Linked DNA regions of Stegostoma tigrinum. The protein of the gene in region 2 purifies or fractionates together with the protein of the main gene of each other region. This does not show direct contact. Links are inferred from orthologs where the notes say so. Each region holds a gene or a part of one and is shown on either strand. Other genes may lie near its edges.

What was found.
Region 1: the proteins of vapal (region 2) and wdr44 purify together in Homo sapiens (affinity purification with mass spectrometry; 3 studies listed by BioGRID and IntAct, counting the BioPlex papers as one, with this or other methods). This does not show direct contact. The link is inferred for Stegostoma tigrinum from reciprocal best matches to the Homo sapiens genes VAPA and WDR44.
Region 3: the proteins of vapal (region 2) and vps13a purify together in Homo sapiens (co-immunoprecipitation; 3 studies listed by BioGRID and IntAct, counting the BioPlex papers as one, with this or other methods). This does not show direct contact. The link is inferred for Stegostoma tigrinum from reciprocal best matches to the Homo sapiens genes VAPA and VPS13A.
Region 4: the proteins of vapal (region 2) and oxysterol-binding protein-related protein 10 purify together in Homo sapiens (co-immunoprecipitation; 4 studies listed by BioGRID and IntAct, counting the BioPlex papers as one, with this or other methods). This does not show direct contact. The link is inferred for Stegostoma tigrinum from reciprocal best matches to the Homo sapiens genes VAPA and OSBPL10.

Annotation. Positions count from the first base shown.
Region 1 is NC_081368.1:69,285,375-69,292,509, reverse strand, and holds the start of wdr44 (WD repeat-containing protein 44), read right to left. Parts: upstream 3,015-7,135; 5' UTR 2,958-3,014; coding exon 2,770-2,957; intron 1-2,769. UniProt on the Homo sapiens protein: Downstream effector for Rab11 which regulates Rab11 intracellular membrane trafficking functions such as endocytic recycling, intracellular ciliogenesis and protein export.
Region 2 is NC_081358.1:115,000,418-115,007,248, reverse strand, and holds the start of vapal (VAMP (vesicle-associated membrane protein)-associated protein A, like), read right to left. Parts: upstream 3,012-6,831; 5' UTR 2,911-3,011; coding exon 2,853-2,910; intron 1-2,852. UniProt on the Homo sapiens protein: Endoplasmic reticulum (ER)-anchored protein that mediates the formation of contact sites between the ER and endosomes via interaction with FFAT motif-containing proteins such as STARD3 or WDR44.
Region 3 is NC_081356.1:64,816,801-64,824,653, reverse strand, and holds the start of vps13a (vacuolar protein sorting-associated protein 13A), read left to right. Parts: upstream 1-4,836; 5' UTR 4,837-5,047; coding exon 5,048-5,147; intron 5,148-7,853. UniProt on the Homo sapiens protein: Mediates the transfer of lipids between membranes at organelle contact sites. Binds phospholipids. Required for the formation or stabilization of ER-mitochondria contact sites which enable transfer of lipids between the ER and mitochondria.
Region 4 is NC_081355.1:27,335,479-27,343,383, reverse strand, and holds the start of oxysterol-binding protein-related protein 10, read left to right. Parts: upstream 1-4,900; 5' UTR 4,901-5,643; coding exon 5,644-5,945; intron 5,946-7,905. UniProt on the Homo sapiens protein: Probable lipid transporter involved in lipid countertransport between the endoplasmic reticulum and the plasma membrane.

The DNA.
Region 1 (7,135 bases), on a different chromosome or scaffold from region 2:
GGACGGCGGGGCGGGAGACCGGCAAGGCGGCCACGGCCCCGGCCCCGGGACGGCGGGGCGGGAGAAGGGCAAGGCGGCCACGGCCCCGGGACGGCGGGGCGGGAGACGGGCAAGGCGGCCACGGCCCCGGGACGGCGGGGCGGGAGAAGGGCAAGGCGGCCACGGCCCCGGGACGGCGGGGCGGGAGAAGGGCAAGGGGGCCACGGCCCCGGCCCCGGGACGGCGGGGCGGGAGAAGGGCAAGGCGGCCCCGGCCCCGGGACGGCGGGGCGGGAGACCGGCAAGGCGGCCCCGGCCCCGGGACGGCGGGGCGGGAGACCGGCAAGGCGGCCCCGGCCCCGGGACGGCGGAGCGGGAGAAGGGCAAGGCGGCCCCGGGACGGCGGGGCGGGAGACCGGCAAGGCGGCCACGGCCCCGGGACGGCGGGGCGGGAGACCGGCAAGGCGGCCACGGCCCCGGGACGGCGGGGCGGGAGACCGGCAAGGCGGCCACGGCCCCGGGACGGCGGGGCGGGAGACCGGCAAGGCGGCCACGGCCCCGGGACGGCGGGGCGGGAGACGGGCAAGGCGGCCACGGCCCCGGGACGGCGGGGCGGGAGACGGGCAAGGCGGCCACGGCCCCGGGACGGCGGGGCGGGAGAAGGGCAAGGCGGCCACGGCCCCGGCCCCGGGACGGCGGGGCGGGAGATGGGCAAGGCGGCCACGGCCCCGGCCCCGGGACGGCGGGGCAGGAGACGGGCAAGGCGGCCACGGCCCCGGGACGGCGGGGCGGGAGACCGGCAAGGCGGCCACGGCCCCGGGACGGCGGGGCGGGAGACGGGCAAGGCGGCCACGGCCCCGGGACGGCGGGGCGGGAGACGGGCAAGGCGGCCACGGCCCCGGGACGGCGGGGCGGGAGAAGGGCAAGGCGGCCACGGCCCCGGGACGGCGGGGCGGGAGAAGGGCAAGGGGGCCACGGCCCCGGCCCCGGGACGGCGGGGCGGGAGAAGGGCAAGGCGGCCCCGGCCCCGGGACGGCGGGGCGGGAGACCGGCAAGGCGGCCCCGGCCCCGGGACGGCGGGGCGGGAGACCGGCAAGGCGGCCCCGGCCCCGGGACGGCGGAGCGGGAGAAGGGCAAGGCGGCCCCGGGACGGCGGGGCGGGAGACCGGCAAGGCGGCCACGGCCCCGGGACGGCGGGGCGGGAGACCGGCAAGGCGGCCACGGCCCCGGGACGGCGGGGCGGGAGACGGGCAAGGCGGCCACGGCCCCGGGACGGCGGGGCGGGAGACGGGCAAGGCGGCCACGGCCCCGGGACGGCGGGGCGGGAGACGGGCAAGGCGGCCACGGCCCCGGGACGGCGGGGCGGGAGAAGGGCAAGGCGGCCACGGCCCCGGCCCCGGGACGGCGGGGCGGGAGACCGGCAAGGCGGCCACGGCCCCGGGACGGCGGGGCGGGAGACCGGCAAGGCGGCCACGGCCCCGGGACGGCGGGGCGGGAGACCGGCAAGGCGGCCACTGCCCCGGGACGGCGGGGCGGGAGAACGGCAAGGCGGCCACGGTCCCGGGACGGCGGGGCGGGAGACCGGCAAGGCGGCCACGGCCCCGGGACGGCGGGGCGGGAGACCGGCAAGGCGGCCACGGCCCCGGGACGGCGGGGCGGGAGACGGGCAAGGCGGCCACGGCCCCGGGACGGCGGGGCGGGAGACGGGCAAGGCGGCCACGGCCCCGGGACGGCGGGGCGGGAGACGGGCAAGGCGGCCACGGCCCCGGGACGGCGGGGCGGGAGACGGGCAAGGCGGTCCCGGGACGGCCGGGTGGGTGAAGGGCAAGGCCGTCCCGGGACCGCCGGGTGGGTGAAGGGCAAGGCCGTCCCGGGACGGCCGGGTGGGAGAAGGGCAAGGCCGTCCCGGGACGGCCGGGTGGGAGAAGGGCAAGGCCGTCCCGGGACGGCGGGGCGGGAGACGGGCAAGGCGGCCACGGCCCCGGGACGGCGGGGCGGGAGAAGGGCAAGGCGGTCCCGGGACGGCCGGGTGGGAGAAGGGCAGGGCGGTCCCGGGACGGCGGGGTGGGAGAAGGGCAAGGCGGTCCCGGGACGGCAGGGTGGGAGAAGGGCAAGGCGGGTCCCGGGACGGCGGGGTGGGAGAAGGGCAAGGCGGGTCCCGGTCCCGGGATGGCGGGGTGGGTGAAGGGGATGGGGAAGGCGGTCCCGGGATGGCGGGGTGGGAGATGGGCATGGCGGGGTGGGAGATGGGCAAGGCGGTCCCGGTCCCGGGATGGCGGGGTGGGTGAAGGGGATGGGGAAGGCGGTCCCGGGATGGCGGGGTGGGAGATGGGCAAGGCGGGGTTGGGAGAAGGGCAAGGCGGTCCCGGTCCCGGGGTGGAGGGGTGGGAGAAGGGCAAGGCGGTCCCGGGGTGGGAGAAGGGCAATGGCGGTCCCGGGGTGGGAGAAGGGCAATGGCGGTCCCGGGGTGGGAGAAGGGCAATGGCGGTCCCGGGGTGGGAGAAGGGCAAGGCGGTTGTTTGGGGGGGGGGGTGTGGGGAAGAAGAAGAGAAAGGTAGTCGGGGCGGGAGAAGAGAAGGGAGGTGGGGTGCGCCGGGTGAGTCGAGGAAGGGAGGTGGGGTGCGCGGGGTGAGTAGAGGAAGGGAGGTGGGGTGCGCGGGGTGAGTAGAGGAAGGGTGGAGTGCACAGCGGGAGAGACGGTTACTCAGGCCGGGGCTGTACTCCCTGCGGCACTACGAACTGTCCCCGGGTCAGGCCCCCCTCCCTTAAGTCTCTCATTATCGCTACTTACGCGGCCGGCGATGGGACCGCGTGGACATCTTCAGCCGCATCGTAAAACTCTTCAGCGTCACTGGTATCGGACGCCATTGACATGAGACAGGGCAATTTTACCCTCCCGGTCCAGCCCGGAGCTGCTAGCCGTTGACTGAAGACAGTGGGACGGAAACCCGCGTCGGAGACAGGCGAGGCCCAGAGCATGCGCACTGCCCACTCTCCCCTGTCCCCAGCACACGCAGCACTCACAGCCGTGGCAAGGAAGAACACGCGCAGAACCGGCTGTCGGAGACGGGCATGCGCTTTGCTCTCTAGCCGTGAGTTGGATCGGAGGTGCTGAGCAGCCTTCAGTCCGGTTGTGTGAGAGGGTGCTGTTGTCCGGGTTAGGGGAGCTTTGTGGCTGGTGGCTTCTTGACTCGGCTGGGCTCTACGAATGGACCTTGCTTCTTTAAAAAAAAGCACTCAAACAGTTAGAGATAGTAGGACCTGCCGATGCTGGAGAGTCTGAGATAACAAGGTGTCGAGCTGGAGGAACGCAGTAGGCCCAGCTTTCCTGCTCCGCTGATGTTGCGTGGCACGCTGTGTTCCTCCAGCTCTACACCTTCACGCAAATGGTTAGTTTCCACTCGCTTCCCTATTTCAATCAAAATGTGAAGATGCTGTTGTTGGACTGGGGTGGACGTTGTCAAAAATCAAACCTCCCCAGGTTATAGTCCAACAGGTTTGTTTGAATCTGTGATAATGGGAACTGCAGATGCTGGAGAATCCAAGATGATAAAATGTGAGGCTGGATGAACACAGCAGCATCTCAGGAGCACAAAAGCTGACGGTCTGATGAAGGGTCTAGGCCCGAAACGTCAGCTTTTGTGCTCCTGAGATGCTGCTGGGCCTGCTGTGTTCATCCAGCCTCATTTTATTATCTTGGTTTGTTTGAATCTGTCTTTTAAATGGGATTTTTTAAAACCTCACACCTAAAATGTAATGTCTGACCTGAGATGTCACCACTTGTATACATTAATAAAACCTTTAGTTATCTCAGGACAATGACTTGAAAGGAATCTGGATTTTACATTTTAATCTGTAGTCTTCTTCCTAACTGATTAAAGATTCACCAAGAGGCAGCCACTTTTAGGCTTGTTTCCTTTCTGCTCATAAATTCCATGTCTTATACCCTCTTTCACACACTATGCCTGAGGAAGGGATCATCATAGAACCCCTACAGGTGGGGAACCATTTCCACTCCCCCTCCCATTCTCTAGATGACATGTCCATCATGGGCCTCCTGCACTGCCACAATGATGCCACCCGAAGGTTGCAGGAACAGCAACCCATATTCCGCCTGGGAACCCTGCAGCCTAATGGTATCAATGTGGACTTCACCAGTTTCAAAATCTCCCCTTCCCCTACTGCATCCCTAAACCAGCCCAGTTCGTCCCCTCCCCCCACTGCACCACACAACCAGCCCAGCTCTTCCCCCCCACCCACTGCATCCCAAAACCAGTCCAACCTGTCTCTGCCTCCCTAAACGGTTCTTCCTCTCACCCATCCCTTCCTCCCACCCCAAGCCGCACCCCCATCTACCTATTAACCTCATCCCACCTCCTTGACCTGACTGTCTTCCCTGGACTGACCTATCCCCTCCCTATACCTATACTCTCTCCACCTATCTTCTTTACTCTCCATCTTCGGTCCGCCTCCCCCTCTCTCCCTGAATATTTTCTGCCTTTGTTTTGTGTATCTAACACTTAACAAGTTTTGTTTTCATAAGTTGTGTATTCCTGTGAGAACTTGTTGAACCACATAGCATAGATAGCTATTTCGACCATCATGCTGGCTTTTGGGAGTAACCAAGTAATCCCCCTCACCTGCTCTTTCCCGAAAGCACTGCAAATGTTTCCCTTAGAAGCAGATACCCAATTCCCTTTTGTAAGCAATGATTGAATCTACCTTCAAAACCTTTTCAGGCAGTGTATTATGTTAACAATAAGGTAATTGTAACGTTAATGATTTTCTGTAACTTTTTTGGATTTTGTAAGTTCAATTGGGCTATATATTGGTTTTAGCTCATAAAAGCTGTTTTATCACCTAATAATGGTGTTAATTCTGGAACAAACTTCAACATGTACCAGAACTATAGAGCGCAATTAAACATACAGTGATTTAAGTCAATATTTACATTCAATGTTGCAGTGACTGTGTTCTACCATTTCAGCACAGTTTTTTTGTTATTGCTACTCCAAACAATATACTTTGTCTGAAAAATAATGCCTCTTTTAAAATTAAATTTCATCACATGAAGAATGCTTTTCGCACGGGCAAACATATACGATCATAAGATGGCACAGAGCTATTTTGTGGTGCAACACTAGCAACAATGAGATGACACAGGATTTGTGGCACTTTCTTAATGAAGGGTGATGGCACAAGATAGTCCATTGAATAAAATTGTTGGCTGCTGCTGATTCCCTCTGTATTCAGAAGCATTATGTAACATAAATATTTGCCTGTTAACTGAGCAGGTAACGAGTAGCTAAATAATCTGATGCTTCACAAAAGATTGCACCCATGATTCCAGAGAGAATGGGCCAGAAATCTCAGCTGAGTTATCAAATGAAGCAGTGTGTAGCCCAACTGCATTTCTGCACCACAACATTTACAAATAACAGGACAGAACCATCACAGCACTTACAATGTTGGCAAACTCCTTCATCCTATGATCCATTTTACTGACTGCAACTTACAAACCTGCAAGCTGTTGCAGTGCTTCTCTACCACAAGAAACCATTGAGGCCACAACATTGAAGACCTTCAAGAAAGACATGGATATAGTTCCTAGAAGACATCGAAGGATATAGGGAGAAAGTAGGAACAGGGTACTCAGCTGAATGATCAACCATAATTGTATTGAATGGTGGAGCAGGCAGTAAGAGCCAAATGGTCTACAGCTCCCAGTCTGCACCTCCCAGTTGTGAACCATTTCAACTCCCCCTCCCATTCCTTAGACAACATGTCCATCATGGGCCTCCTGCAGTGCCACAATGATGCCACCCGTAGGTTGCAGGAACAGCAACTCAGGTTCTGCTTGGGAACCCTGCAGCCCAATGGTATCAATATGGACTTCACCAGCTTCAAAATCTTCCCTCCCACCACTGCATCCCAAAACCAGCCCAGCTCATCCCTGCCTGCCTAACCTGTTCTTCCTCTCACCTATCCCCTCCTCCCACCTCAAGCCACACCTCCATTTCCTACCTACTAACCTCATCCCACCCCCTTGACCTATCTGTCCTCCCCAGACTGACCTATCCTCTCCCTACCTCTCCACCTATCTCCTCTATCCATCTTCGGTCCGCCTCCCCCTCTCTCCCTATTTATTTCAGAACCCTCTCCCCATCCTGCTCACTGATGAAGGTCCAGGCCCAAACCATCAGCTTTTGTGGTCCTAAGATGCTGCTTGGCCTGCTGTGTTAATCCAGCTCCACACTTTGTTATCTCGAATTCTCCAGCATCTGCAGTTCCCATTATCTCTGGTCTACTTCTGCTCCTGTTTTCTGTGTTTGATAAAGTCACTAATATCCAAGTCCATGGGCCCATCTTCTGGCTGGGGCTGAGCAGGTGCCTGGTCTCCAGTAGTCTTTTCAGTGTCAGAAAGCCTAACTATTGCTTCTTTGATCAGATGCGGAGGTACATCAATGATGTGCTCACCATATTGTGCTCCTGGGACTAATCCAGACAGGAAAGTACATGTCCCTTACCTGATGGAGGGTTCAGGTGAAAGCCTTACTGGTACCTCCTCTGAGAGTTGGCAGACTTAACTCCTGGCTCTCCAGCAGGTGCATTTCTCTCTTCCGCACCACATTGAAACTTCCAAAGACAACTCCACCCATCTGAATTCAGAACTGACTTTCATTAGCAAGACCCACCTTGGCAACTCGTTGCTCCCTCAATCTCCAAATACCTTATCAATTCTCTCTCCATCATTTCAAAAAGAACACCAACCCTCACAAAGATCCTGCTTGGTGAACATCAGACAATTCTCTCTTCCCTTGGACTCAGCTGCTTTGCTTCTCCTGCTCTGCCATGTCTTTCCGTCAGTCTAAAATAGCAGAAGTCGCAAGTATGAAGACTACCATTTGATATATCAAGAGATTTCTGTTTGAGTTTCTTTCCCCATAGCAACCAGATCACATTGGCCTGTCTCTAATTGCCAGTGTTCAGTGTCATCTCATATCCAAGTCCAGAATTAGCAGGAGCTGCAGATGCTGGAGAATCTGAGATAACAAGTGTAGAGCTGGATGAACACAGCAGGCCAAGCAGCATCAGCAGAGCAGGAAGGCTGACATTTCTGAAGAAGGGCCTAGGCCCGAAACATCACCCTTCCTGCT
Region 2 (6,831 bases):
CCAGTAGCTCACCTCGAACACCATGGGCCTTCACCTTGCTCAGCAGCCTCCCATGAGGCACCATATCAAAGGCCTTTTGCAAGTCCAGATAGATTTGACTGATGATACGTGCAAATGCTCTAGCCTGGTCTAATGCAATGATATCCTAGGTCCCACCATCAATGAGGATGGGGATACTTGTGGCATCTCCTACAACTCAGCATGGTCAAACTGCCACACAGATAGTGGAACAGATATTCAAAAAGGGCAGGACTCCATCTCCCCACAGTCTGTGTCATTCCTCTCAATGCTGTCAGAGAGGAATGCATCCGTGACAGATAGATTGGTGCGAACGAGGTCTTCCTTGTCCCTCTTGTTGGTTCCCTTGTTTGCTGTCACAGGCTCAACACAGCATTTATGACCTTGGGAGCTCAGTCAGTAGTGGAGCTACAAAGCTACAATTGCTCATTGAATTTTCTCACAGAGAACAAATCGTGCCCTTCCTATTCTCAACATTACTCCCAGACAGTATTCAACAATGAAGTACATAGATTTTTCAGTGGAGGGAGGACAGGAGGTGGTAATCCAGCATTGCCTGAGCTGAACCTGATGCCATCAGAGTTCACTGTTGCGAGAGTCAAAAATCAAGGACTTCCTGCAGTAGACTTTTTAACTTTCTGAGTTTGAGCTGTGGTGAGATTTGAAGTCGCATCTGTAAATCATTCATCCAGCAGCATTATCACAACATTAACATCCCTTCAGAGAGGTTATGATCAAAAACAGCAAGGTGGAATTCAAAGGAATTTCCAGACCCGAGTAAGAGGCTTCAAAGCCATTGGTGAATAGGAGGTGTGAAAGGTACCATGTGGCTTATCACGTTCCAGAGTCTAAGGTCAAATAAAAGTTGAAAACCCAGATTTTTGACAAGGGATGGTGGAGAGTGGTGAGTGGTAAAAACTGCTTGATTTCACTCAGCATAGCAACTGCAATTTAAATTCCTTCATTGAAAACTACTTTCTCCGCATAATTTAGTTAAATCAGAAATAAAATACCTAAACAATGGCAGGCTGAAGAAAGCTTCAACATGTCACACAAACTCCAGAAAACAAATGCCATAATCTCACCCTGAAGAGGATAAAACATTTCAGTCATTCCAGTTCTTAATAGAAGATTTCAAAAGACAAATGTAAATCTGTCAAGTCCATTTTAGTCTTTACTGATACTGACTTTTCCTCCTTATTCAAAATTTGACAAACTGAGCAATTTATTTATGACAAAACATTATGTTAATTTTCAGCAACAATACATTTGAGCGAAAATTAGCAGCATTTTTTAAAAAGGTCAAACTTAAATGTCATCTGGAATCAGCAATTAAGACAAGAGCATAAATTACTTACTCGATCTGTTCTTTGGAATGAAGCCTAGCCAAAGAAAGTGCAAGATCATGTCATACTAATGATCTTAAGAAACATAATCCACTTGGTGCCAAAGGGCAGAGATTGCAGCTCAGTCATGTCTCCAACAGCCTCGTTGGCACTTTGGGTGGAGCTAGTTAGTTCTATGGTAAAGTGTCAAAGAGACTAGCAATGCAACATCACATTAAGGTAAGCATACAGGTCAAGACATACTGAGGCTCTTCTCAAACAGCCATGACCCAAATATAGCATCAGGACTTGAAAATAAGTTTGAGAGAAACTGTTCTTATTCCCAGCACTGCAAAATCTCCAGACTCGAACACAAGTATCTAGTTATCCCAAACTTAATTTTGGTATTTAAGCCTGAAGCTTTTTTCTGTTTGAACACATTTCTTAGAACGTAAAAAAATTACGAAATAGAAATACTTAAAACCACCGTATGAACTGTCTGCTATTTCTGCCATAATTATTCAGCTAACTATATCTATAAAAACACACACGAAGGCTATCCCATTACACAGGGTAAGGATTCGATGTATCAATACACTGTTAGAAGTCTAGCTCCTAATTAAAATATTAAAAATTACTGAACCATTCAGTAATTTTTTTTAAGTGCTATCTGCTCCTTGTCATCTTTCTATGTTCCTAAGAGGCACTTCAGCAGACTGTTTTCCACTATTACAAATGGCAATTCTAAATATTTTGAAGTAAGGTTGAATATCTGTGCACAGAGACGTTGCTGAAAATAGACCACGGCTGCTAAACGCGTGAAGGATGCAATCTGGATGAAAAAAAATCTCCAGCCTCCGAATCCCATGTGCTCTGGGGCGAGCACAGCATTCGGCACCTTTCCCCTACTCAAAAGAGCTGGTTTCCGATTTCAGCCAGCAATAATAAAATAATTTTTAAAAAGACCAGGTAACGTGGGGCCCACTCTGCATAAACTGACTCATTCCACCTTCCCCCGGCAACACCCGGCCTCGGAGCAAAGCTGACATCCGCGAGAAAAAGAATGAACCGAACCGAGACGATCCTCGCGGAAAATCGCGGCACACTCAGTTCACACCGAACCCAGCCGCGGCAGACGCCGCCGCCGCCACCACCATCACGACGAAGCCGAGGATCCAGGCGCGGCCTAGTCCGCGCTACCAAAATGGCGGCTGCAGCGAGCGAACTGCCGGGGGATTCGAGTGGAGCCGGCCGGGGCCTCCCAATACCCCGGAGCTTGGTTGGTTGGGGGGCGGCGGGGGGAACAAGGATGAGGATAGGTGCTGAAGGACCAGCTCCCAGCCACCCACCCGGGACAAGGCAAACTACGGCGGCGGGCCACAGCCGCAGTAGCGAAGGATGCGAAGAAAACGGAAGAAGTGTGAATGTGTGAGACGAGCGGCACCCGGTCCGTGTAATGCAGAGTAACAATAACACATAAATAAATATGTCGGTGCGAGCGTCAGTCACCTTTGAATTTGAGCTCGACGGGCGGATCGAGGATCAGTACTTGCTCCAATCTGGCCATTGTCGTGGGGGGGGGGGGGCAGGGCTGATACTCAGAGCCTTTGCTGCCTGATGGCGCTTATCCGATCCTCTCCGGGATGAGGGGGAGGGGGGGGGGAGGGTAAAAGGGGCTGATTTTTTTTTCTCTCTTTCCCTCCGCCTGACTCGAGCTCTGCAGGACGCCGACGTGCGCGCACCCAATCAGCGCACGCCAAAATGCGTGCGCGTCCTCAGGCGCCGCCCCGGGGATTTGCTCGCCGGCCACGAGCGTGCGCAGTACGGCTTACCCCGTGACGTGCGGATGGGCTGACCGCGATGATGTGGCGCACTGGCAGAGGTCCCGCCTCTCGTCCGTGAGACGGAGGCTCAAGTGCCAAGTGCTCCTGAGCGCTGTAATACCAGAGGTAGTAGGAGCTGCTGATAACAAGGTGTAGAGCTGGATAAACACAACAGGCCAAGCAGTATCAGAGATAATAAAGTGTGAAGCTGGATGAACACAGCAGGCCATGCAGCATCTCAGGAGCACAGTGCTGAGCACAATCCTGAAATGCTGCTTGGCCTGCTGTGTTCATCCAGCTTCACACTTTATTATCTGGGATTCTCCAGCATCTGCAGTTCCCATTATCTCTGAAACAGTATCAGAGGAGCGGGAAAGCTGATGTTTCGAGTCCAGACCCTTCATCAGGAAAAACTATTATTAAAATATAAGTTGTGAATTAATCCTTTGCTGCAGTGTTGTGGAGGGGGGAGCGTAGATTGCTGTCTCTGGTTCTTCGATAACTCATGGTGCCAAGGGCTAATATCCTAGTGTGCCCAAAAACCAAGAGTTAGGCCTGTAATACAGGGGAAATCATTGAGTATATCCAGTTTGCACTGACAAAAAACCTTCTGTGGTAATCTCACTTTCTGGCAACTGCCCGTAGTTTTGAACGTTATGGCATTTCAGGTGCTCTTCCGCATTTAAAATAGATCATGAGGTTACTTTTCCTGGGAATGCATTCCAGATTCCCACTACTCTCTGAGTGAAAACAAAAAATCATTAAATCCCCTCTAATTTTCTCATCCTTCACCTTAAAATTGTACTTCCTCATTATTGAGCCTTTGTGAATGGTTTTTTCTCATTGGGCAAGATGTCACAAGTGGAATGCCTCCACCCCTCTTCCCCCAGATCAATGTTGCAGGGTCCTGCAGGTGGCTGAGGAAATAGCGGAGGCTTTGGTCGTGATCTTTCAAAAGTCACTGGAGTCAGGGAAATTGCTCCTGCTTGGCCTGCTGTGTTCATCCAGCCTCATATTTTATTATCTTGGAATTCTCCAGCATCTGCAGTTCCCATTATCTCGGAGTCAGGGAAAGTCCCAGATGATTGGAAAATTGCTGTTTTAACTCCCTTGTTTAAGAAAGGATCAAGGCAAAAGATGGAAAATTATAGGCCGATTAGCCTAACCTCGGTAGTTGGTAAAATTCTAGAATGCATTGTCAAGGACGAGATTTCTAAATTCCTGGAAGTGCAGGGTCAGATTAAAACAAGTCAGCATGGTTTTAGTAAGGGGAGGTTGTGCCTGACAAACCTGTTAGAATTCTTTGAGGAGGTAACAAGTATGTTAGACCAGGTAGATGTTATCTATCTAGGCTTCCAAAAGGCCTTTGCTACAGTGCCTCACGGGAGGCTGCTGAGCAAGGTGAGAGCCCATGGTGTTCGAGGTGAGCTACTGGCTTGATTGAGGATTGGCTGTCTGACAGAAGGCAGAGAGTTGGGATAAAAGGCTCTTTCTCAGAATGGCAACTGGTGACGAGTGGTGTCCCGCAGGGTTCAGTGTTGGGGCCACAGCTGTTCACCTCTGGCGAAGTTTGCCGATGATACGAAGATAGGTGGACAAGCAGGTAGTACTGAGGAGGTGGGGAAGCTGCAGAAAGATTTAGACAGTTTAGGAGAGTGGTCCAGGAAATGGCTGATGAAATTCAATGTGAGTAAATGTGAGGTTTTGCACTTAGGAAAAAAGAATACAGGCATGGACTATTTTCTAAACGGTGAGAAAATTCGTAAAGCAGAAGTGCAAAGGGATCTGGGAGTGTTGGTCCAGGATTCTGTAAAGGTTAACTTGCAGGTAGAGTCCATAATTAAGAAAGCGAATGTAATGTTGTCATTTATCTCAAGAGGGTTGGGATATAAAAGCAGCAAAGTGCTTCTGAGGCTTTATAAAGCTCTAGTTAGGCCCCATTTAGAATACTGTGTCCAATTTGGGCCCCACACCTCAGGAAGGACATACTAGTACTGGAGCGTGTCCAGCGGAGATTCACACGGATGATCCCTGGAATGGTAGGTTTAGCGTATGATGAACGGCTAAGGATCCTGGGATTGTACTCATGAGAGTTTAGAAGGTTGAGGGGAGATCTAATAGAAACTTACAAGATAATGTATGGTTTAGAAGGGGTGGACGCTGGGAAGTTGTTTCCGTTAGGCGGGGAGACTAGGACCCGTGGGCACAGCCTTAAAATTAGAGAGGTTAAATTTAAAACTGAAATGAGACGACATTTGTTCAGCCAGAGAGTGGTGGGCTTGTGGAATTCATTGCCATGGAGTGCAGTGGAGGCCGGGACGTCGGATGCCTTCAAGGCAGAGATCGACAAATTCTTGATCTCAAAAGGAATCAAGGGCTACTGGGAGAGTGCAGGGAAGTGGTGTTGAAATGCCCATCAGCCATGATTTAAATGGCAGAGTGGACTTGATGGGCCGAATGGCCTTACTTCCACTCCTGTGTCTTGTGGTCTAATGGTCTTATGGCCCTGCTTCTACTTATGGTCTCTGTCAGTGACTCGGCTGAAGGGGCCAAATGCATTGCTAAATCTTGCTTAATACACAAAGACAGGTAGGCTCTGCCAAAGTCTGCAATGGAATTTAGGTAAGTTAGCAGAACAGGAAAATGGAGTATAATGTGAGAAAGTGAACTTGTCCCCTTTGGCAGGAAAAGCAGTGTATTATTTCATGGAGAGAGATTGAAAAATCCTTAAGGTGCAAAGGGACCTAGGTGTCCTAGCATTTGATTTTTTTGCAAGGAGAATAGAATGTGAAAGTGGGATGTTTTGCTTTAGTTGAAAAAACCATTGGTGAGACCGTATCCGCAGTACAGTTTTGGGCTCCTTATTTAGGAATAGACATAGCTGCATTAGAAACTAGAAGGCATAGATGCACAAAAGACTGAGGAAAATCTTTTCACACAGTGAATAGTTGAGATATAGAATGCACTGCCTGGAAATATGATTGAGGCAAGTTCAGTTGAGATATTCAAGGATATTTGATCATTATTAAGATAGAAATAGTGTGCAAGGGAATGAGAAGAAAACAGGAGATTTCCACTAGGTAATGAAGATGTTTGAATTTGAAGAGCATATGCAGCTTCAATGGGTCAAATGACCTCCATCTGTGTCATAACAATTCTGTGATAAGAACAGTTAAAGGAGGGTTAACATTGTATCAGAAAAGGGTCTGGGCCCGAAATGGCAGCTTTCCTGCTCCTAAGATGCTGCTTGGACTGCTGCGTTAATCCAATTCTACGCCTTGTTATCTCAGTTTAAGGAGAATTCCTGGAATGAGGGTGTTACTGGAAAAGCTGAAGAAACAACACCTTATTTTCTGCCTGGGGACCTGACAGCCCTCCGGATTCAATATCGAGTTCAATAATTTTAAGGCCTGAACTCTCCCATGTCCTGGCCCGAATCGCACACACCAGGCATTGATTATAGGAATAGGGACGTTACGTTACAGTTGTATAAGTCGTTGGTGAGGCTGCGCTTGGAGTATTGTGTACAGTTTTGGTCACCCTGTTATAGGAAAGACATAGTTAGACATGAAAATGTGCAAAGAAGATTTACGAGGATGTTGCCAGGACTAGTAAACCTGAGTACCTGAGCTATAGGAGAGGTTGGCCAGGATAGAACTTTTATT
Region 3 (7,853 bases), on a different chromosome or scaffold from region 2:
ATGACTAATGGAATGCTGGACTTTTTATTTAGAGAGCTGGAGAATAAGGAAGCAGAACTTATGCTGTAGCTATTAAAAATCTGGTCAGATCCCACTGTGAACAGAATGTGGGAACTTCACCTAGAAAAGGATATATTGGCCCTGGAGGCAGAGAGATTAGGAAGAACTTATACACATAAAGGATGGTAGAGATTTGGAACTCGCTTTGACAAATTGATAGCAGACTGGCAGTTGATAGTAGAACAGTTGTCAGTTTTAAATCTAAGATAATTTTTATTTGTTAACCAAAGATACTGAAAGACATGGACCAAAGGCAGGTAATATAGAGTTAGGCCACAGGTCAGACATGATCTGATTGAATGGAAGAACTAACGAAAGGGGCTGAATGGCCTATTCCTGTTCTTATGAGTGGCCCTATCACAATTAAACAGCTCGTGATGGTATCATTCAAGAGGTCATTGGAGTGCAGAATCCTCTCAAGTCGAGAGGGAAATTCACACAGAAATGTGAACAAATGAAACTGCGTGTGGAGCACGACAAAGCATTTGCTTGTAGAAACACAGTAAATCTGCAAGTTAATCAATTAAGGCATTATTGCATTCCCCTGTAACTCAGAGTGTTACCGGACTATTAGTAACATCTGATGGGAAAAATCATGTAAATAAAAACCAAACGGTCTTAAAATTACATAGACAATTTCTTCACTCTTTTTATCAATTATAAGAAATCCTTCTATGAGATGCATGCAGGATGATGGAGTATATGAGGCTCATAATGCCGAGTTGTGGGCAAGTAGTTAAGGCAATGGATTTGAAATTCATTGAGGACAAGCCTATGTTTATTTGAAACCTGCCGATTATGGTTCAGAATAATAAAATGTGAGGCTGGATGAACACAGCAGGCCAAGCAGCATCTCAGGAGCACAAAAGCTGACGTTTCGGGCCTAGACCCTTCATCAGAGAGGGGGATGGGGTGAGGGTTCTGGAATAAATAGGGAGAGAGGGGGAGGCGGACCGAAGATGGTGAGAAAAGAAGATAGGTGGAGAGAGTATAGGTGGGGAGGTAGGGAGGGGATAGGTCAGTCCAGGGAAGACGGACAGGTCAAGGAGGTGGGATGAGGTTAGTAGGTAGATGGGGGTGCGGCTTGGGGTGGGAGGAAGGGATGGGTGAGAGGAAGAACAGGTTAGGGAGGCAGAGACACGTTGGACTGGTTTTGGGATGCAGTGGGTGGAGGGGAAGAGCTGGGCTGGTTGTGTGGTGCAGTGGGGGGAGGGGACGAACTGGGCTGGTTTAGGGATGCGGTGGGGGAAGGGGAGATTTTGAAACTGGTGAAGTCCACATTGATACCATTGGGCTGCAGGGTTCCCAGGCGGAATATGAGTTGCTGTTCCTGCAACCTTCGGGTGGCATCATTGTGGCACTGCAGGAAGCCCATGATGGACATGTCATCTAAAGAATGGGAGGGGGAGTGGAAATGGTTTGCGACTGGGAGGTGCAGTTGTTTGTTGCGAACTGAGCGGAGGTGTTCTGCAAAGCGGTCCCCAAGCCTCCGCTTGGTTTCCCCAATGTAGAGGAAGCCACACTGGGTACAATGGATGCAGTATACCACATTGGCAGATGTGCAGGTGAACCTCTGCTTAACGTGGAATGTCATCTTGGAGCCTGGGATAGGGGTGAGGGAGGAGGTGTGGGGGCAAGTGTAGCATTTCCTGCGGTTGCAGGGGAAGGTCCCCTAACCTGTTCTTCCTCTCACCCATCCCTTCCTCCCACCCCAAGCCGCACCCCCATCTACCTACTAACCTCATCCCACCTCCTTGACCTGTCCGTTTTCCCTGGACTGACCTATCCCCTCCCTACCTCCCCACCTATACTCTCTCCACCTATCTTCTTTTCTCTCCATCTTCGATTTGCCTCCCCCCCTCTCCCTATTTATTCCAGAACCCTCACCCCATCCCCCTCTCTGATGAAGGGTCTAGGCCCGAAACGTCAGCTTTTGTCCTCCTGAGATGCTGCTTGGCCTGCTGTGTTCATCCAGCCTCACATTTTATTATCTTGGATTCTCCAGCATCTGCAGTTCCCATTATCTCTGATTATGGTTCAGAAGACTGCTTTAAAACAAATGCGTGCCAGTTTAATTACTGGGGCTCTTGTGGCAGAAGAGGCCTAGTTTCAAGTTACAACTGCTTCAAATGTGTGTCAAAACATATCTTATCAGATTGATTAGAAATATTTATATGAAGCTTATAGAAGAGATTAGTGTACAAAGGAGGTTGACATCCCATCAAGTTATGCTTGCCACTTGCATGTAACTTTTCTGAAATAGCCGCTGCCGATCTAAAGGTTTAGGAAAATGAAAGGAAAACTTCAGCACTACGCTTTATAGACATGGAAACTAGATTTAAACTTTCTACATTTACACCTGTCAAGAACAACAGGATGTTTAGAGACAGTCACATAGAAATGGCAAGCCTGCAGACATGGGCAATGACTAATTTCCAGATTGATAATGAAAAGGAATCTGCTAATGACCAGTTGATAGATTTGTGTGAAAACATGAACACCACAGTCATGAATATTGTTGCTGAAGTTCTTTTTTAAATAGTGAAAGGAATCACGTAGTGATTGATGAAATACTGCAGAGGGTCTGACCAGAGCAAGCAAGCAGAAAGTTGACAAATGCATTGGCATGAGCTGCTCATGCAGAGAATTTGCCTTGAATGTTTTGTTTTATTCATTCATTGTTAGTCTTGCATTTGTTGTCCATCTCAAATTGTTAACAGTTCCTTGTCAGCCACATTACAGTGGGTCTGGAGTCACAAATAGGCCAGACCAGGTAAGGATGACAGATTTCATGCCCTAAACAATATTAGTAAACCAGCTGGATTGCTATGACAGTCAACATTAGTCACACAGCCACCATCAACTGATTTACAATTTCATATTTTTATTAAAACCAAATTCTACCATGATGGTATTTGAAACCATTTGCCCAGAAAATTAGCTGGGAGTTCTGGATTAAACTCCAATGACATAACCACTGTGTGAGCACCTTCCCAAGGCCAACATTTGTTGCCTATCCGATTGCCACTTGAACAAATTTGCTGGGCAGAATATAGATGGGTTTTTATGACAATTGATTATAGTTTCACTGAAAATCTATGTTTCAATTCCAGATTTATTTGTTTAATTAGTTTAAATTCCACTGGCCATCACAGCAGGATAATGGATGTGAGTTTGCTCGCTGAGCTGGAAGGTTAGTTTTCAGATGTTTCATCACCATTCTAGGTAACATCATCAGTGAGCCTCCGAAGAAGTGCTGGTGTTATGTCCCGCTTTCTATTTATCTTATCATTATTAGATTATCAGGATCATCTGGAGTCCATCACCCTGGACTTCTGGATTGCTAGTTCAGCGACATCATCACTATGTTATTTATTACTACTTCCCCCTCAGTGAAACTTCATGGACTGACAAAAAGGGGTAAAAGAATGGAAACTAAGGATGTGCAATGTGAGTTCTCATAATGGATCCAAGACTGCACTTACATTGGAGAACAATCATGTACTTCATAGAGAGTCTCTGACCTTGACTGAAATTCTGCCTGACCTTATGAGGAATGAGTGCATTCAGATCCTGCCTGGCAAGCCTTGCACCTATTCATCACCAGGGAAGCTCATTTGGTTGGATAGCTGGTTTGCAATACACAGTAAAGTCAATAGTGTAGGTTCACTTCCAACACTGGCTGAGGTTACCGTGAAGGTCTCTCCTTCTCAATTTCACCCTTTACCTGAGATATGGTGTGACCCTTAGGTTGAACCAGTCATCTCTCACTAATGACAGAGCAGCCTTATGATCTGGTAGGATTATGGTACCTTTGCTTAACAAACAGAAATTGCTGGAGAAACTCAGTAGGTGTGGCAGCATCTGTGGAAGCTACTTCTAAAACAAGAAAGTTAGATTTAAAGTGATGTGCAAATGAAGCAAGAGTGATGTGGGGTAAAACAAAAGTTACACTGTGAGTTTACTGGGAAATGTGGTGGAGGCAGGTTCAAATGAGGCCTTGAAGAGGACATCCGACGATTATCTCGATATAAATGGCGTGTCGGGATATAGGGAAAAGGCAGGAGATTGGCACCAGCTAATAAAAAAGGTGCAGGCTAACTCTTGTCGCTCTATCCTACACTTCCAGCCCACTCCTTTAAACAACATGAAGATAATGATTTCAACTATAATTTTAATTACGTGTGTTCCTGTGCTACCTAATATTACGAAATAGTGTAATCCAGGGGCGATCTACAATGTGCCTTTTGGATGCTCACGATGCAGTCCTTTAAAAAGCAAGAAGACAATTTCTCCAGGTCCCTTATGTGCGTTTCAGCTGTTTTCCTTTCGCCAAAAAAGCAACATATCTCATTCAGCTTACTTAGATTCCGACCAGTGAATTTCCCACACAAATATTACCGTATTATTTGAAAATTCATCGTATGATTTAAAAAACAGCCATAAACACCTTCACGAATTATTTGTTTCAATACCTCAACGCAGTTTTATCTCATTTGGGACCGTTCAAATCAACTGCCCTCGTCACTCGCTGATCAAAATTAAAACTGTCAATAAGTATTTCTTGTTTTTTAATACCCTCTCCGAAGACCAGGATTCCGGTAGAGTGTTATATTTAAAAATAACTTAAGCTTGCCGCTATGAAAAAAAACTCCTCTTTACTTCACTGAATCCAACTGTGGTTCTGCTGACACCGACGAGCACCCGCAGCTGCGGAAGCAAGCAAAAGGCGGCGGTCAGAATTGAGCGCGCTCAACGTGAGCGTGCATTCTTTTTCCGATGAGTTCGGAGAGTTGTCGTTGGAGTAGTGAGGGCGTCACTCTGAAAGAGAACGAGGCATCGCTGCTCGCGCTAGTTCCGGTTCGCTGCAAGATCGTTTTCTTTTGAATCCTTTGGTTTGGTTGTGGCGCTTGGCGTTCGTGCTGGTTAGCAGCAGCAGCGGAAGCGGAGGCGGCCCAGTCGGGCCGAGAATGGTGCTCGGAAGACGATGGTGTTCGAGTCTTTAGTGGTCGAGGTTTTGAACCGTTTTTTGGGGGATTATGTGGTGAACTTGGACACCTCGCAGTTGCAATTAGGAATTTGGGGAGGTAAAGTTTTTAATTTGCGCGTTCGCCTCATATGCTGGATCTATATATAATGTCTGGGTATTTGACAAGTACCTGCGTGAGTAGCCATCACAGGGTGTGGAACCCAGCTCCCTGGAGAAGAGTGATCCGCGCACCAGGATCCTGCTGTAAAATGCACCATGGCAATTTTCTTATCATTTTTTGAAGAAATGATTGATTTGAGTAGTTCGCAATCAAATAAATAAATATCATTGTTTTGCGTATTGTTTGGCGAAATATTTCATGTTGCAAAGCAGCAAGTAGCTTTTTGTGCAAATGTTTCTTCAGTGTTGCATGAATTTATATTCCGATCTTTTCAAATTTTAGTGACTGTACATATGTATATACTAGATAGATGCTGCTCGCTGTGTTTATATTTAATTTGATACAGAACTAGCACTTATACGTAACGAATACTTTAAACATGTCGCCATGGATTATACAGCTTGCTATCTTTTCATTTCTTCTTTCTGTGCTTCTCCAGTACATACAACTGGTATTACCTCAGTTGCAATCATGTAGACACACGTCTTTCTGTGAATGTTGAAAACACAAGTACACATTAAACCTTCTCTGGTACTTGTCAAGCAGCAGCGAATTTGAAGAATGGCGTATAACTCGGGAGTTGTAAATTCCGAAAGACAGGATTAATAGGTTTAGACAACCTGAAAAAACGGGATTTTCTTTTTCCTTCCAATGCTTTATTTTCAATTTTTCTTTCAAAAAATTATGGTGTCACTGCTGACATGATTTTTGATGTTTTGCGACAAGGATTTGCTTTAATTAGCCTGATGTCCGGTGGACCAGTGTAACGTGACAAAGCTGCTGTTATGTGCTCTTATGTTTTAGCATATGTTTTACAGCAAGTACGTTGGAACAATTTATTTGCTATGAAATGTTATGGCAAAATATTTGATAATTAGTATTACTTCTGCAACCTTAAATTGTATAGTAAAGATAGCTGCAAGCACAAAGTGTTATGTTATGGTTCATGCATTTAAATTTACACAATTGAAAGCAGTTTACAGAAGGTTTGCTATGCTGATTCCAGCATGAACCTCCTGCATGAATCGGTTGTTTTATGTGGAAGTGTTTTGTAACTTGGCCCTATACTCATTGCTGTTGCGAACAATTCTATATTCTGTTTCAACAGAATATTCTGAGGGGCTTGGCAAATCAAATCCTAGAATCCTGACAGCCTCAGGTCGATCTCAAGGATATTTTCTTTTTGCTTAGGAATTTTGTACTCGATGTTATTGAAAAGAACAATCTTCCTGTTAAATCAGAGATAGTAAGAACTGTAGATGCTAGAGTCAGAGATAAGTGTGGAGCTGGAGGAACACAGCAGGCTGGGCAGCATTAGGAATTCTGAGAAAGGGCCTTGACCTGAAACGTCAACTTTCCTGCTCCTCTGCTGTCTGGCCTGCTGTGTTCCCCCAGTTCCACATTAGATTGTCCCCTTTTAAAACAGTGTGATCCTCAGATCAGAGATTATACACAATCAGTGAACCTGCTCCCTCAAAGAGCACTGGGGATTGTGCAAGAACTAACATTTCTTTGTGAAATGACATCTTGCATGGTTGTATTAAATGGTTGAGCAGGGCCAATGCGTCAAGTGGTCTTGCTGCTCCTACCTCTGTTATGATCTCATTGTAGGGCTTCCCAAGGTAGGGATCAGGACCCCAAGCAGGGTCGGGAGCCGTGAGGAAGCAATGGCCACTGTGGAGCCCTGCCCTCGTGACCTTCTGCACAGTGGCTCACATCTTCTGCACTGTGTTCTCCATGTTCACTGAGGGGGTCATGACAATTAAGCATTAAAATGGGGTCATAGTCGGTAAAATGTTAGAGAAGCTTTGTCTTCTAGATTGAAGTTGATATATCTGACAGTTCAAAGCACCTGTGGAGGAAGAGCTGACGATGTGTGAAGATAACTCATTGAAAGCAGAAAGGGGCATAACTTGTCAAACTTATGTTCGGTATAGCCAATAATCATATTTGAAATTTGAACACTTACAACATGGTCAAGCAATAATCGAACTGGTTATTCTCTATTTATAGAATTATATTGTCTCATTAGGATATCCAGTCATATCTTGAAACCTGGTACAGCCCTGCAGAATGTAGGCATTAACTTGGATTGAGGCAATGCTGATTTATAATTATTTTCAAAAAACTTTTAAAGTTTCAGAATGGATAAGAGTGTACAGGCATAAAGCAGTAAGATCAAACTTTTTTTTCCTTTTTTGATCTTTAGATGCTGAGCTACTTGTTACATCCATTTGAAATACTGTTTTGAAACTTCTCACCATTAAATTAGAAATTATTCATGCACTGTTGTTATTCAGAATACAGTCCTACATTTGTTACTCCCTGACCATTATTTTACTGGTTCCAATAACCCATATAAAATAAATTGCTAATGTTCCCATTAAGTAGTGGTTAGAGGAATGTTTGAGGGTTAGTTTTAGATTAGCATATTGGTCTATGACTACTGTGGTGAAAAATGACCACTCTTGAGTCTGATGCGAAATAAAAGCAGAATGACAGCACCTGCAGTTCTATCAGGAACAAAAACAGAAGTTGCTGGAAAGACTCAGCAGGTCTGGCAGCATCTGTGAAGAAACAAATCAGTTAATGTCTCGGGTTTCGTGACCCTTCCTCCAGAATTGTTCAGTCAGTATGGTTTCA
Region 4 (7,905 bases), on a different chromosome or scaffold from region 2:
AACAAATAACAATTTATTTATTTAACTATCACAGAGAACACATTAACATATTAACAGAACTACTAACAAACCAAACAATTCACCATTGACTCCCAACCTCCTATGCTCCAATGAACCTCCTCTGGATCCCCTCCAAGGCTAAAGCATCCTTTCTTAGATACATAAGAGGCTACTGAATGAAGATTCTGAATCAAACATTATCACAGATAAATCACTATCTGATTTTATTTCAAAATTATGAAAAGTTGGGGAGAAATTAGTTCTGCAAAACTAAAAGTGAATGGAGCTGGGATCATCATCTCTTTAGGAAATTGTTAGGGGGAAATGATGGCTCAGCGGTACTGTCACTGGACTAATACTGGGAGAATGGAAGAGAATGGAAAAGCACAACATCTTTAAAGCTGAGAAACAAGATAATGTCAATATGTGGAAAGATTGTGTGAGAATACACACAGATCACATGGAAAAGTTAATCTGCAGACACTGTGAACAAATGGAAGGAGAATAAGAAGAGGAACATTTAAAAAATAGGAACAGAGGTAGAGTTTGCAGCCCTTTGACCTGCTGTACCATTCCTTACATTTGATCATCCAAATCATTTGCTAGTTCCCATTATTCGTTCATATCCCTCGATTGCTTTAGGTCCCAGTGCTGCATTCAACTCCTTAAAATGTTTGGCCTTGACTGTTTTCTGTGCTAGTGAATTTCACAGGCTTACCACTTTTTGCTGAAAAGATTTCTCGTCACTTCAGTCCTAAAATGGCCTACCCCATGCCCTTAGGCTCTGATTCCTGGTTCTGGATTCACCAGTTATTGGGAGCATCTTTCTGGCATCGTCCAAATCATACTGAGCATTTTGCGTCCTCATCACAGTTTATCCTCCGACATGGCTTCGTGTCACAGTATCTTGGCCTTTGTTACCCAGGCAGATGGAGTATAAAAGTAAGCACGTTTTATACAATTACATGGGGTTTTGAAAAGACCACACCTGAAGGTCTGTTCACAGTTTTGATCTCCACAGAATTTACTTATTTTAGAGGGATCTTGTGGTGCAGTGGCACTGTCTCTACCTCTGGGCAAAACATTCCTGGTTCAAGTCCCATCTACTTCAGAGGTCTGTCATAACATGTCCAAACAAGTTGATTAAACATATCTATGTAATATGAGACTTAATAAAGGTTCACTTGATTGAACCTTCAGTTAGAGAGAAATAGAAGAGCACCATGTAGAAGCAGGTGTAGACCATTTTGATCTTCGAGCTTCTCTATCATTTGACGAGATCATGGCTAATAGTCTAACTCAGTACCCTGTTGCTGCTTTCTCTTCACACTCTTCAATCTTTTTAGCCCCAAGAATTATATCTCCTTCTTGAAAATATACTATGTTTTGACTTCAAACACTTTCTGTGGAAGAGAATTCCACAAGTTCACCCACTCTCTGGGCGAATAAATTTCTAATCTCACTTCTAAATAGCTATCACATACCTTAAACTGTGATTAAATAGTAGGGACTGCCGATGCTGGAGAATCTGAGATAACACGGTGTGAAGCTGAAAATGGGAAGGGTCCCGACCTGAAACGTCAAACTTTCTTGATCCTCTGATGCTGCTTGGCCTGCTGTGTTTATCCAGCTTCACGCCATGTTATCCCTTAAACTGTGATACCTGGTTCTGGACTCCTTGATCATCAAGAACATTCTTCCTCTGTTTACCCTGTCTAGCCCTGTCAGAATTTGATACCTTTAAACTTGCTATGAATTCCTTCAAAACTTGATGGGACAAATGCTGAAAGTCTGCCTCCATGAATAGAGTATCTAGAGTTAAGGATCACAGTTTCAGGATAAAGTTGAGCCATTTAAGACCAGGCTGAGGAGATATTTCTGAATAAAAGAGGGGTTGAATCTTTGGAATGCTCTAATCTGAAAGACGATGGATGCTTACATTATGACTGTGTTCAAGACAGATTCAATACAATGTGGAGTCAGGCAGCATCAGAGAAGCAGGCGATAATGTTTCAGGTCAAGTCCCATCTTCAGGCTTGGAAAGGGGCAGGGAGCTTGGAAATAAATAGAGGGAGGAGGGGAAGATAGGTGGGATGGCGACAAGTAGATGCAGGTAAGGGGTGGTGGGGAAGATGGACTGGTTGCATCAGGTCAAGGAGGTGGGGATAGAAAGCGAGTTGGACCTGCGAATGAAGCCGACAGCAGGGAGATATTGAAACAGGCGAAGTGACACAACCCACGCCCTCCACCTCCTCCAGGACTTCCAATTCCCTGGCCCCCAACACCTCATCTTCACCATGGACGTCCAGTCCCTATATACCTGCATTCCGCATGCAGATGGCCTCAAGGCCCTCCGCTTCTTCCTGTCCCGCAGGCCCGACCAGTCCCCCTCCACCAACACCCTCATCCGCCTAGCCGAACTCGTCCTGACCCTCAACAACTTCTCTTTTGACTCCTCCCACTTCCTACAGACTAAGGGGGTGGCCATGGGCACCCGCATGGGCCCCAGCTATGCCTGCCTCTTTGTAGGTTACGTGGAACAGTCCCTCTTCCGCACCTACACAGGCCCCAAACCCCACCTCTTCCTCCGGTACATTGATGACTGTCTCGGCGCCACCTCTTGCTCCCCAGAGGAGCTCGAACAGTTCATCCACTTTACCAACACCTTCCACCCCAACCTTCAGTTCACCTGGGCCATCTCCAGCACATCCCTCACCTTCCTGGACCTCTCAGTCTCCATCTCAGGCAACCAGCTTGTAACTGATGTCCATTTCAAGCCCACCGACTCCCACAGCTACCTAGAATACACCTCCTCCCACCCAGCCTCCTGCAAAAATTCCATTCCCTATTCCCAATTCCTCCGCCTCCGCCGCATCTGCTCCCACAATAAGACATTCCACTCCCGCACATCCCAGATGTCCAAGTTCTTCAAGGACCGCAACTTTCCCCCCACAGTGATCGAGAACGCCTTTGACTGCGTCTCCCGCATTTCCCGCAACACATCCCTCACACCCCGTCCCTGCCACAACCGCCCAAAGAGGATCCCCCTCGTTCTCACACACCACCCCACCAACCTCCGGATACAACGCATCATCCTCCGACACTTCCGCCATCCACAATCCGACCCCACCACCCAAGACATTTTTCCATCCCCACCCCTGTCTGCTTTCCGGAGAGACCACTCTCTCCGTGACTCCCTTGTTCGCTCCACACTGCCCTCCAACCCCACCACACCCGGCACCTTCCCCTGCAACCACAGGAAATGCTACACTTGCCCCCACACCTCCTCCCTCACCCCTATCCCAGGCCCCAAGATGACTTTCCACATTAAGCAGAGGTTCACCTGCACATCTGCCAATGTGGTATACTGCATCCACTGTACCCGGTGTGGCTTCCTCTACATTGGGGAAACCAAGCGGAGGCTTGGAGACTGCTTTGCAGAACACCTCCGCTCAGTTTGCAACAAACAACTGCACCTCCCAGTCGCAAACCATTTCCACTCCCCCTCCCATTCTTTAGATGACATGTCCATCATGGGCCTCCTGCAGTGCCACAATGATGCCACCCGTAGGTTGCAGGAACAGCAACTCATATTCCGTCTGGGAACCCTGCAGCCTAATGGTATCAATGTGGACTTCACCAGTTTCAAAATCTCCCCTTCCCCAACTGCATCCCTCAACCAGCCCAGTTCGTCCCCTCCCCCCACTGCACCACACAACCAGCCCAGCTCTTCCCCCCCACCCACTGCATCCCAAAACCAGTCCAACCTGTCTCTGCCTCCCTAACCTGTTCTTCCTCTCACCCACCCCTTCCTCCCACCCCAAGCCGCACCTACTAACCTCATCCCACCTCCTTGACCTGTCCGTCTTCCCTGGACTGACCTATCCGCTCCCTACCTCCCCACCTATACTCTCCTCTCCACCTATCTTCTTTTCTCTCCATCTTCGGTCCGCCTCCCCCTCTCTCCCTATTTATTCCAGAACCCTCACCCCCTCCCCCTCTCTGATGAAGGGTCTAGGCCTGAAACATCAGCTTTTGTGCTCCTGATGCTGCTTGGCCTGCTGTGTTCATCCAGCCTCACATTTTATTATCTTGGATTCTCCAGCATCTGCAGTTCCCTTATCTCTGAAGTTATTTCCCAGCTCCCTTCCCTCTCCTCAGTCTTGAAGAGTCCCAATCTGACACTTTAACTTTTCTGTTCCCCCTATGTTCAAGACAGAGATCTTGAAGACTCTAGAGTACTACGTAAATCAAGAAAATGATTAACATTTGATGGGGACATTCCGCCAATACTTATTGAATATGGAAGCAAATATGATGGCCAAGTGGTTCGCTCTTGCTTTATGTTCTCAAAATGTTCTTAATGTTCAGAAATAATACTCGAGATTACATTCAAGCACGTCTTTATTCATTTGCAGGATGTGGGCATCATGCTAAGCTGACCATCTCCAATCTCTTGAGAAGCTGGTTAGTGGGCCACTTTCTCGAATCACAATTTACAAGGATTACCACAAATCCTCGCGTTTTGCTCCACTTATCGGAATACCGACTAGAAATTGTAAATTGAGAATATTTGGTTGGTTGGATACGACAAACGAAACCGCAATTTTATGGGAGCGAACTACTTCCTTCTGTACATGTTTCAGAAAAGTTTTACATCCGACAAGCAGGAAAATTGACTATTCGCGTCGAGATCTTTCTTCGCGGTGGAGGGAGGGGTGGGAGAGAAAAGATTTTTTTTAAGTGTCGTTATTTATGGGGACATCAACAGCGCCGAAGTGGTAAAGTTAGTTCACCATTTGGTCTTTTGTAAAGAGGTATAGTCAGTTTTACAGGGGACTGCGCCGCTCGTGCGTGGACGTCCAGGCGCACGTTCCCGCTTTACGTAACCGTGCGCGAGCTCCAGCCGAGGGAAGGAAAGTACAAGCTCACCGAGACGAGAGACGGAGTCAGTGTCTCCAGGAATTCCGGACTCCAGTACGGAAAGGGAAGGGCTGCTGTGGACTGTTATGGGGATAGGATCACGAGGAAGCCAAGGCCATACAGCGCCCTCCGGCCATTGTGACAGGGTAGTAGAGAGCTGTACCCTTGTCAGGACCCACAGTATGCGTGCGTGACACGGAGACCCTCCTGACTTGACCTGACTGGAAAGGGAGAGAGTGCCAGGCGAGACGTCTCCTGGACGCGTATGCGCCACCGAGACGGGGCACCACGTCACTGCCAGCGAGAAGTCAGCAGATTTGATGAAGGAGGGACTCGTAGCGACTACCTGACAGAAAGTGGGAGGGGAGGAGGGGCAGCTGTGGGGAGGGGAACTAGTCCGCTGGTTTAACTCACTGACAGCGGCGGGGACAGCAGCAGTGGAGTATTTCTCTCGGTCGCCCTACGCCTTCGGACGGTGTGGCTCGATCACCGGACGTTTGTTAATCGGAGCGTTCCATCGAACGTGCGCGACCCATCCCGCCCCCCTCTCCACTGCCCGGCGCCGCGAACTGGCTGCACGTCCTGGCCGCCGCGGTGCGAACTCTGTTCGCCTGTCACACTTTTTATTTTCGCGCTGTTGTTGTTTATAAACCCATCCCGTCCCCTTCCTTTTACTCTTTCCTCCGAAAAGAAAACGACAGCCAGCTTTTGTCGCGGTCGATGTTTAACACTGAGAAAGTGGCTCCTGGCGGCGCTGCTGCTGCAGCTGCTGGTGGTGGCGGTGGTGGGAGAAGGTTCTCTGGTTCTACGGGGGAAAGGGGGTCGTTGGCGCTGAAAGCAAACACCCAGGATAGGGCAAAGACCAACTGCAGCAGCCCGACCTCAGCAGCTGCAGCCGCGGATTCGTTGCGGGTAGTCCGCGAGGACCAGCAGAACCACCACCACCGTCATCCGGAAGCTGGCAAGGTTGTGGAGGGTTTACTCAGCAAGTACACCAATCTGATCCAGGGCTGGCAGCACAGGTACGAAATTAGGGAGAATGTGTATACGACTTCGTTTGGGAAATACGTTGGTAGCAATCTGCGCTTGTCGTTAATTGTATGAAATACACTCTCAACTTGAGTAATTCACCCATTATGTCTCGACATAGTGGCGAATGCGGTATAAAGGGAGATTGCAAGAACTGCCGATGCTGGATTGACAGTGTTCCGAAATTTTAACGTTCCTGCATGTTGTAATATGAGCTAAAATAGATTGATCTTCACAGAGCTAGTTGGACAAATGATTGAACTCGTGCCTCAAATAGGTATGTTTTTAAATAATACATCAAGCCCAAATGACCTTTTGGTTGAGGTAATCATTTAGTACGCTCTCTAATGGGTGCAGTGTGCTGATTAAAACCACTTTCCTGGTTACTACAAATATAATGAGATCCAAAATTGACAGCTCAAATCTCCTCATCGGCTTGTACTCATGAGGCATTATTTGAGTAGAAAAAATGGAAAAACTATAGTGAATTGCATGGAGATGATGTACTGTGAATTTCTGAGTTTGAATGTAGTAATCTGAAGTCTGTATGAATTTAATATATCAAATAGTTTAATGAGTAACCTTTCCACCTTCATTTCGTTATGCCTTCTGTGATCACTACGCATTGACGTGGGGTTTATTCTCTGCTTCGTACAGTGTTCCAGCAATGCTCAATATATAATGGAACTGAAATTTAATTTTAAATTCACTGTTTTACGAAGGCAGGTAATGACTTTAAGGCTGTGTTTCCAGGCTTTTGAGTACTGATCGTAAACAATCTGAACTTTGCTTATGCTTGTCAAACAACTTTACACCAGCCAACAGCCATGGAACATAGAACAGTACAGCACAGTACAGGCCCTTCGGCCCACTAAGTTGTGCAGAACTTTTACCCTAATTCTAAATTCTATCATTCATATGCCTAGCTAATAGCTGCTTAAATGGCCCTAATGAGGCTGACTGCACTACCCTCTCCAGCAATGCATTCCACGTCCCGACCACTGTCTGAGCAAAGAATCTACCTCTGACGTCTCCCCTATATCTACCTCCACTCATTTTAAAACTATGCCCCCTTGTAATAGCTACCTCTACCCTGGGGAAAAAGTCTCTGGCTGACGACGCAATCTGTACAGTAATGCCCAGGAGGAACTTGTTACCTTTACCTAGGCTAGCCAAATGAGATTCCAGGTACACACAGTTTTAACTGCATTCTGAAGTGTCCCAGCAAGTCTGCCACTGTTTCAAGAAGTTGCATCACCAGCATTTGTCAAGGCCAGTTAGGAATAATCAATAAATGCTGTCTTTGCCAACGACATCCCAATTCCTTTCATGAATAAATGTTTAAAAACCTTTAGGTGGAAGAGAGAGACAGCAGATCATATGGCACATCATCTACTCAGCAACACCAAATAAGCCAAGAAAAATAACACTTCTTTCTCAAATGTAGAAAATGCCATTTCTAAGGGGAACAAGGAATTTATTGTGGCAGCTGTCTGTCCAAATGCACACTTAAAGTGGTCAGTGTCGATTCAACCTCCTGGCTGGGCAGAAACTTTCTTGTCCCTACCATGAAGGTTACCCTGTGCACCAACCTCACTTATTTTTAGATGAGTTAAAACCACAAGCATCACAACAACTTATGATACCATGCCAGCAACTCTCAACAGCCATCAGGAGCACCAGCTGACAGGAGGAAAATGAGGGAAGAACAGCAAGAGTTCATGGAAGCGAGAACACAAAAAAAGGAGATACCTCAAATACTATAACACTGCTGTCATAATTTGCCAATCCATTCTTACTGTGAATGAGCTTTTTTTACCAAGCTCAGACAGTAAGAAAAAAAAAACTTGCACTGAATGTAGATAGAAATTTCTATCCCTGTCACTCTAGCTGCTTGCTTGGGCCCCTGAAGTTTGAAACATTGCTGGCTCCTTGGATGTTGAGTACACTTTA